Oryzias latipes: one gene and its partner. The protein of the gene in region 2 purifies or fractionates together with the protein of the main gene of each other region. This does not show direct contact. Links are inferred from orthologs where the notes say so. Each region holds a gene or a part of one and is shown on either strand. Other genes may lie near its edges.

What was found. Proteins that work in one complex are often made in the same cells at the same time.
Region 1: the proteins of cpsf2 (region 2) and sympk purify together in Homo sapiens (co-immunoprecipitation; 8 studies listed by BioGRID and IntAct, with this or other methods). This does not show direct contact. The link is inferred for Oryzias latipes from reciprocal best matches to the Homo sapiens genes CPSF2 and SYMPK.

What each region holds. Positions count from the first base shown.
Region 1 is NC_019879.2:16,691,409-16,695,719, forward strand, and holds the start of sympk (symplekin), read right to left. Parts: upstream 2,807-4,311; 5' UTR 2,543-2,806; intron 2,336-2,542; 5' UTR 2,298-2,335; coding exon 2,235-2,297; intron 1,775-2,234; coding exon 1,709-1,774; intron 1,598-1,708; coding exon 1,544-1,597; intron 1,446-1,543; coding exon 1,372-1,445; intron 1,276-1,371; coding exon 1,149-1,275; intron 1,052-1,148; coding exon 802-1,051; intron 693-801; coding exon 522-692; intron 435-521; coding exon 195-434; intron 1-194. Other genes in the region: slc35f5 (solute carrier family 35 member F5), read left to right, coding at 3,029-3,087, 3,858-3,999. UniProt on the Homo sapiens protein: Scaffold protein that functions as a component of a multimolecular complex involved in histone mRNA 3'-end processing. Specific component of the tight junction (TJ) plaque, but might not be an exclusively junctional component. May have a house-keeping rule.
Region 2 is NC_019882.2:5,327,417-5,331,534, reverse strand, and holds the start of cpsf2 (cleavage and polyadenylation specificity factor subunit 2), read right to left. Parts: upstream 2,812-4,118; 5' UTR 2,652-2,811; intron 2,288-2,651; 5' UTR 2,270-2,287; coding exon 2,121-2,269; intron 604-2,120; coding exon 444-603; intron 331-443; coding exon 225-330; intron 141-224; coding exon 11-140; intron 1-10. UniProt on the Homo sapiens protein: Component of the cleavage and polyadenylation specificity factor (CPSF) complex that play a key role in pre-mRNA 3'-end formation, recognizing the AAUAAA signal sequence and interacting with poly(A) polymerase and other factors to bring about cleavage and poly(A) addition.

The DNA.
Region 1 (4,311 bases), on a different chromosome or scaffold from region 2:
TGGGTGTGATGCTGCTGCAATAGAGACTAACCTGTGCAGAAAGAAAAACTAAGTAAAGCAAAGTTACAGCCTCTGCAAGTGATGGCAAGAAAACAAACACTCGTAATCTTTCAACAAGTCCTTTAAAGACTGTTTTTTTTTTATAAAAATGTTATTTTCTAAGGCAGTCTGCATTTTTGTGGTGAACTACTCACCAATCTTGACCTTCTTTCCCTCTGTGTATTGCTCATAGCGAGGCCTCTTGCGAGGCTCTCGTGGTACAGGAGTGTTTCGAGTTATCTCAGTCTGAGGCATTCCCAGATCCAGCAGCAAAGTGCTGATCTGACCCTGGAACTCCACACTGCACGGATGTTTGAGAACTGCCACCAAGTGCAGCTTTAAGTTTTTTCGAACACTGCTAACCTGAGATTTGGCCAGAGTGGGGGGAAGGTTAGCTAGAAAAAAAGATAAATATTAATGATTGCACCTTAATAATAATGTTAAGGGGATAATATATATTTTTTTGACTAAGAAGCACTCACCGTGGAGGGTCTCATATGCTTGCACCACCTCTGACATGAACATTGGTCTTTGACGGGCAATCGTTGCCAAAGAACCCAATGCAGTGGTGAGGTTAATGCTGGATATAGCTGGGTGGACCATGAATTTTAAGAGCTTTTCCAGTGCACTCTTTCCTTCTTCACACAAAGTACCTGTTGATTCAACAGAATGTAATAAATCTATCCTGCAGTAAGAAAGATTTTAACATGCCTGTTTAAAAAAAAAAAAAAGAAAAAAAAAAGAGAGTTCTAAAATCTTTACCGTAGTGAATGTACGAATGGTCTTTGGGAACTTTGTCAAGGCTAATGTCAGCATCCTGGCGTTTGGGTACATCAGAGTCAGGTGTCCGCGGCGAGAGAGTGATGATTAAAGATTCTGTGAATTTGATGCTGTGTGTGCGAACACCATCATTGTCGGAGTCCAGCAAGGCCAACACTTCCCCTTTCATTTGAGTGATCAAGTCCCAGCATGCCTCCTGCATTTCTGACAGTGTTTTTGAGCTGACCAACCACTGGCAGAAAAGAAACAACAGAAGATGTGGGAACATAAAAACACCGTATTCCTATTATTTTAGCAGGAAATTATGCGAGTGACTTTAAGGTGCATACCTGTAATGTTACTTTATAGAGCTGAGTGAGTGTCAGAATGGCTTTCTTCACCACATTTACACTTTCATCCTTCAGCAGCATGTTTAGATTGGCGATAAGTCTAACAAGGAGCTCATTGTCCCTTTTACTAGTTGGGAAATAGATATAAAAAAAAAAGAGTTTCAATAAATATACATACATTTAAAAGTGTATAAGATGTAAAATGTTGACACAAACAACTAACCATGCTTCCTCTATAAATCCAATGACAAACTTTTTCACTTCTATTGATTTGTCGGTCTGAAACGCTATTATTTCCTGTAAAATAGAATTGGCAAGATACAAGAACATGACTGGGCCGATTTTAACTTACACGCTTACCATTCCTTTGCCATGAAAGGCAGGTGCTTACTTACATCCAAAAAGTTGTCAAGAAGGGACGGATCCTTGTTGATGATGAGCTCTTGAACCTAAAGGAAATTCAAACGCGTGACTTCAAATTCTTACAACCACCTCATCAGCACCTCAGTCGGTGCTGCTGTGTAGCAGTCATCTAAACTGCACAGATTTACACTACCAACCTGTTTGAGAGCAGTCAGCTTTTCATCAGTGGGTATGAGAGAAGCTTGATTCAGAAGCTCCACCACCTGAGAAAAGAAAGAACCAGAGTAAGTCTCTACAACGCTACAATAAGAGGCTAACCAGCCAAAAAATATTAGCATAATTTCTACTATATAGCATGTTTGAGCCAAATGAGGTGTTCTTAGCTATTAACCCCAGACAACTGCAAATGTAGACTACAGCCCCATTTAGATTAAACTGCAGCAATTGTAAATATTTCTTATATATTGCAATTTATCAGAACAAAATCGATGGCAGATTAAAAAATAAAGAATGTTTAGATAGCAAGATCAAGATTTAACTTGCATCACACAAAAAGCATTTAATGATTTGTTGTGTTTCTAGATGTATATTTTAAGACTTAAAATGCTTTATATGAACAATTTCAGATTAAAATATTTCTGTTTTAAAGTCTGCTACCTCCAGATTGTGTTGTTGTCCCTGAGATTGTAAACAAATCTTTCATCTTGTGCTAATTGTACAGACCTTTTCACTGGTGGTCATATCGACCCCTTTCGGAGTGTCCTCCGCCTTAGAAGAAATGTCCATGTTGCTGATGTTCCAGTCAGTAATAATCTTGCATGATCCTGAAAGGAAAACAGAAATAATAATAATAATTTAGAGCATACATAACAATACGAGAATTACGCATAACATCTATATTTTAATTCAAATTACTGAACGTTTTAAGTCAGACTACAAACATTCGTATGTATTACAGAAACACATATTCAATTGATAATACTTAAATAAACAAATTTCAATACGCAAGTCAGTATTTTTTTCTAACTTACCTACACGATTACCAGAATGATGAGAATGAATCCAGTTAGTTAGCTCGTAACATTAGGTTAGCCAAAACGATAAAATAATAATCTACTTTACTAAGCCAACTGCGTTATAGATACACTAACTCTTGTATTAAACGGGTAATTACAAATATGATCTATTAGACAACAAGATTTGCCTTGTTTTAGTACTTATTAAATATATGAATTAACTTTGCTAGCAAGCAAACAAAGCTACCGCCATATTTCATCGAAGAAGCTATGGTACGGTTCTTCTTCGGCTGTTTTCGGATACTCAAATAAAAGCAGCGCCTCCTGCTGGATTTGTGTGCCTCTAAGCTATTTTTGTTTATTTATTTTTTAACTATTAATAAGAACACTAGTATTGTTTACATCACATGGGAAACAAAATATGTGCCATAGACACATTTCAAATGTTTTTAATCGATCACCATTTAACTACAAGTCCCATGAGGCTTAGCGGGATAAGTGATGTCACCTGATGCTAATAACAAGACAAGGAAGTGCTTATGTTTACAACCGCTGGAGTGGTAAAATATTCTCGTTTAAAACGTGTTGTTTTTTAGAAACAGTAATGTAAAAGATCAATCGGACATCAACTAATGAAGAAAAGTGAATGAATACGCCTCGCATTCGGGTGAACACGCCGCTGTTATTGCTTTTGTTACTTTGTTTGTAGGACATTTTACTAGCTCTTAGTTAGCTTGGAAAACAGGCAGCTAAAACGTACCACTGCGAAGCTTGTTTTGGATACAGCTAGTAAAAACTGTGCTTATTTTGTTTTTAATATACAGAACGTCGTATCGTAATAAATCAGTTAATTTTACATCTTTAAATTGCAGACGGTTTCGTGCTCATAGTTTTGATTCTCATTGGGACCACTTATGTTTTACATTCATTGCCACATGAACATGCAACAGAATTTTTGTTTAAAGAGGCGGAGGTCTAGTAGAAAACACGCACATCATCACTTGTAACACGCGTTTATGAGTATTGTTGTTAGTGATGCTTTACAAGCGTATTTCCTGCAACGTGTTAGTTAAGTTAACCACGGTCTTCATTGGAAAAACCTGTAGGAAAGGCCTTTGACTGGTTTCCCAGTCTTAAGGAACTTTTTTTCATTTTTACCTTGTCTTAAAAGTCTATATGAATCTGTCATGGTATATTCTTATAAATTGTACCTTTAGAGCAATGTACAGTGGCATTGTTGCCTTGTCCCTCCAGCAAAGCATACAGTAGAATAAAAAGAGGGAAAAAATATCATATTCGTTTTCCCCTCTATGTCATGTGTCTGTTATAGGGTCTCAATGGAGTGGGTTTTCATCATGAACCGGATGAGCTCTCAGGGAAGCTCTACAGCCCAGCGGAGGAGGATGGCCTTAGGGGTGGTGATACTCCTTCTGGTGGATGTCATCTGGGTGGCTTCCTCCGAGCTAACCTCAGTAAGGACAGTCTGTCAGCTGTCTGTGGGTTGTCATTTAGTGTGTAACAAAACTCTACTGAGACAAACACACAAGAACGTCCTCACAGTATCTTAACAAAGTCTTACAGGAATTAGAGTAGTTTAAGTTCGAATCAGTCAAAGTTTGGCAAATCCAAACTGACTAAGCCAGTTCCTCGAGTTGACTCAAATTCTATTTGTAAAAAATGTATTTCCAAAACATCTGTATGTGCATTTCTTCTGGCTTTTTACAGCATAGCTTCAGTAAACATTAAAGATTTGACATTGATGAAACAGACAAAAAAAAATATAT
Region 2 (4,118 bases):
CGTTACTTACATTTCTCTCTTGTGGTTGAAATCCACAGCATATACAATCTCCTCCTCTCCATCCTTGACAATTTTCCAGATGGTTCCTCCAATCATGTGTCCAGCTGGAAGAGGAGTGATGGAAAGACCATGGCCTTTTCCTAAAAACCAAGGGAACGGATTGATTAAAAATACACACATTGTTAGAATGGCCAAGTTAGAGCAGTAAAGTAACGGAAACTCACCTTTCAAATTGACAATCTGAGAGTATTTTAACTGCTGGATTTTGTCAAAAGCGCTGTCGACATCATCCAGGGTGAAAAGTGTGAAGTCTTCACTGTTGTTTCGAGACTAAATGGTAAAAAGCAGAAAACATTTACAAAAAAAAAGCAGAAATTTCAGGCCTATAAATGACCTCATCTTTTATCCATTAGCCAATTCTAAAAGTCCCTCTCCTGCTTTACCTGATACAGATCATACATGAACATCTGACCCATCTTGTAGACAGGAATTGTGGCATAGATGGTACAGTTGAGGCCCAATTTGCCCACGGCATAAGGGAGGGCTCCGAGGTGAATGGGGTCAGGGTGTGAGAGAAGAACTGCATCAACCTGATGAACATAGCTGCCGGCAGAAAATTACACAACAATGGGTTTATAACAGAAATATCAACATAATCAGAAAAGCCTCTCACAAAAAAATATATCATCAGCTAATAAGTCCATGATTAGTAGCAATTATTTCATTATAGACGTGTATTCGGATGTATATGCGTATGTATATATATTTTCCAATCAATTCATGACTAATTATCCTATCTATCTATCTATCTATCTATCTATCTATCTATCTATCTATCTATCTATCTATCTATCTATCTATCTATCTATCTACCCAGGCTGTGTCCCACCAAAGTGGGGTAGCCTAGACAGGGTATCCATTCTTACCGCCCTCCTTCTCTTCCACAAACCCTCCTCCTTCAGTGTGTGCGTGTGTGCACGTGTGTGTGTGGGTATGTGACTGGTTTAAGCCACACCACACTGCACCAGGGTCAGCTGCACAGCCCAGTGTAGGCACCTCCACAGCAGGGCCTCAGCCAAGGCTAGTTTCCCCTTGCCGCTTCATCCCAAGACCAGACCTCTACCACGCCCATCCATTCATTCATACACAAACTCTCTCCACCCATCCCTGTCCTGAGCAGCCTCTCTCCCCTGCACCACAGTCATCCCTCTTGCATTCATCGCTCTTTTTACACCCTCTGTCCATCCCATTCGCGGTCTTCCTCTCATTCTCACTCCACTCACATCAGATTCGTACACCTTTTTCACCAATCGCTCCCTTCCCATTCTTTCAACATGTCCAAACCATCCCAGTGCCTTTTGCTCTGATCTATAAGCCAACTCTCGCATCACACCAGTTCTTTCTCGGATTACTTCATTTCTCACACGATCCATACGTGTCACCCCACACATACTCCTCAAACATCTCATCTCAACTACATTCAGCTTCCTCTTTTCCACCACTTTCAGACTTCATGTTTCAGCCCCATATAACGCTGCAGGCACCACCACACCCTCATACAATCTCATTATGCTAAGTTAGATATATCTACGTATAGATCTATATTTCTGTTGTTTCTCTTCGTTAGTTTGATTTTGATTAAAATGAACTATTTCCAAATACACAATCCAAATGTTTACAACGTGATGTGGATTTATCCGCTCAAATGTGCTTAAGTACTGTCAGATCTTCCCGAACGACATCACAATGAACGATCAGACTGTGTTTATATCTTTATATACATTTTGCATGACCTATTATCAGAATCAAATCTGTTTTGAGGCACAGTAAACATTTGACAATACTAGAAATTGAAATGTCAGCTGCAAAATCCAGAATACAGCCTAAGAGAAAAACAAACAAACAAAAAACACAAACAGATTCAAACTTTTTTCCAGAAAGGGGGTTGAGGCTTAATGGTCCAAGAGGAGATGCTCTGGTACAGCAGGTGAGAATGGATTTGATGAGGTGGTTTAGAAGTTCAACAACAGCCTCAAAGGAAGGTGGAAGATCTTCAGCTCCCTCAAGAGACTCTGAAGTATATGCATGGGTGTAAAGTTCTTATTTACTATCAAACTCACCGCTTCATGGCATCAATGATGTCCATTGAAAAATGTTCGTCCCATCCACAGTCCAAGAGGATGCGAAATTCATCCACCTGCAGGAGATAACAGAGGGCGGACTCCTCCTGAACCCCTGACACGGCCGTCAGCTTTATAATCGAGGTCATTTTTCTTCACTATAAACGCTGTGAAAAATAAAAAAAGATTAGCACAGTGCCCTTCCACCGACCTTTGATTAAAACAAGCTTGTACAAAAAACCCGTTTACGTTAATTACAACTAATATTAGGATCAACAAACACGGTATATAATAGGTGTTATAAATTTAAAGGAAGTTTAGTGTGGCGGGAATTAAACACAAGATGCGTAATTAAAATCCCACAAATTAATGGAACCGATAAGAGACTTTGGTAAAAACACAAATAATAAATAAAACAAAACAATGTGGTTGTTAGCTAAAGTTAGCACGGTCGTTAGCTAGTTACCCGGCAAGTCCTTTTAGCATGTTAACGTTACTGGTTGTTCACTGCAGTTTCATTGTGTGTCATACCATTTAAAGTGGGTTTGAATTAGTTATCCTTCCTGAGAAAACAAAGTAAATTAACCGACTACAATTCCCAAGTTAAAGCATTTTCTTTAGTAGCTACTGTCTACAAAACATTAATGTGGTAGACATTTTTGCGCCAGCATCACGTGACACAGGTCAAATGAATGTACCACTAATAGGGGTGTTGCCACAATATAAATTGCACCAAAACAACGCCAAAATGTGTAGTTTTTAAAAGATGCGGTATAATATTATAATTCTATTCTATTATTCTACAGTATGTAACTTTCCCTTTTTGTCATGTATTAGCTTTGCAAGTTGGCTTTCACGCGCTGATCCGCGTCGTTGACACTCAATTGGTAGAGTCCGATGTCCTTCGCTTGGCGAGTCGGTAGCTAAAGGCCGCTGGTTGATACAAAAATAAGGTAATATTTTTTACAATGGTCATTACATTATTGTTTTTTTCAATATATTGTTTTGTTTAATGCTGTGTTACATTTTGGGTAAATAAATAAGCAATTACAATCATTCTTCTAACAAAATAAAATGTTTGCTGCTAAATTTGCTAACTGCTACACAGCACTGTAACTAATTGATCCCTAACCAATGTTTGTTAGTATTATTTATTGTTTTTAGCCATTTTTTTTAACTCTGAGGTGGCTTATTTTTTTTGCCGTTTGTAACACTTCTTTCGTTCTTATTGGTGTTATAAGAGTCAAGTTAGCTTAAAATTAAATGGATAAACTTGTCAAAGGAAGGCAGCATTACTTTGTGTAACCTTTTTTTTTCTTTCCAAAATATGGAAGCCATTCAACGTCCTTTACAGAGATTACATACTTTTGTAGCTTGAAGGAGAATGAATGATAGCAAAACACAGTTTAAACGAACTAAATGATGAATGCAACTGGGAGTGCTGCATTTCAGCAAACCAACATTAAAGAACAACGGTTTCAGTTGTTCGTGACCTGATCTACTAGTAGCTGGTGCATAAACAGCTTAACATCAGAGGTCCAAAAATATCAAGTCCTATTTGTTTTTGGTTGCTTGAAACAATTTGATGTATACAACAATTTTTGTTGACAATAGAATTTAAAAATATACTTTTATGGGTTTTTAAAACTGTTTATTGGAAATCCATGTTGCTATCACCCTCGGTTATGTTAGATTTTATTGTGTCTTCTAATCTGCCCAAATTTACTTTATTCTTAATTTCAAAGCCAAATAAGTGTCATTACTGCAGTTTAATTGACATCAAATCCTCCATCTCAACTTTAAATGTGTGTAAATATAATTTTTTGTTTTATTCTTTTAGGGAGCCATGGTGAATCCTGCAGCCCGCCGATACTGGGTACATTTATTTGTTCCCATGGGCTTTGTGATTGGCTGGTACCTTGATAAACTACAAGACCAAAAGCTGACAGCTTTTAGAAACAAGAGTGCATTGTTTGGAAGGTGAGGAAAAGAAAACCT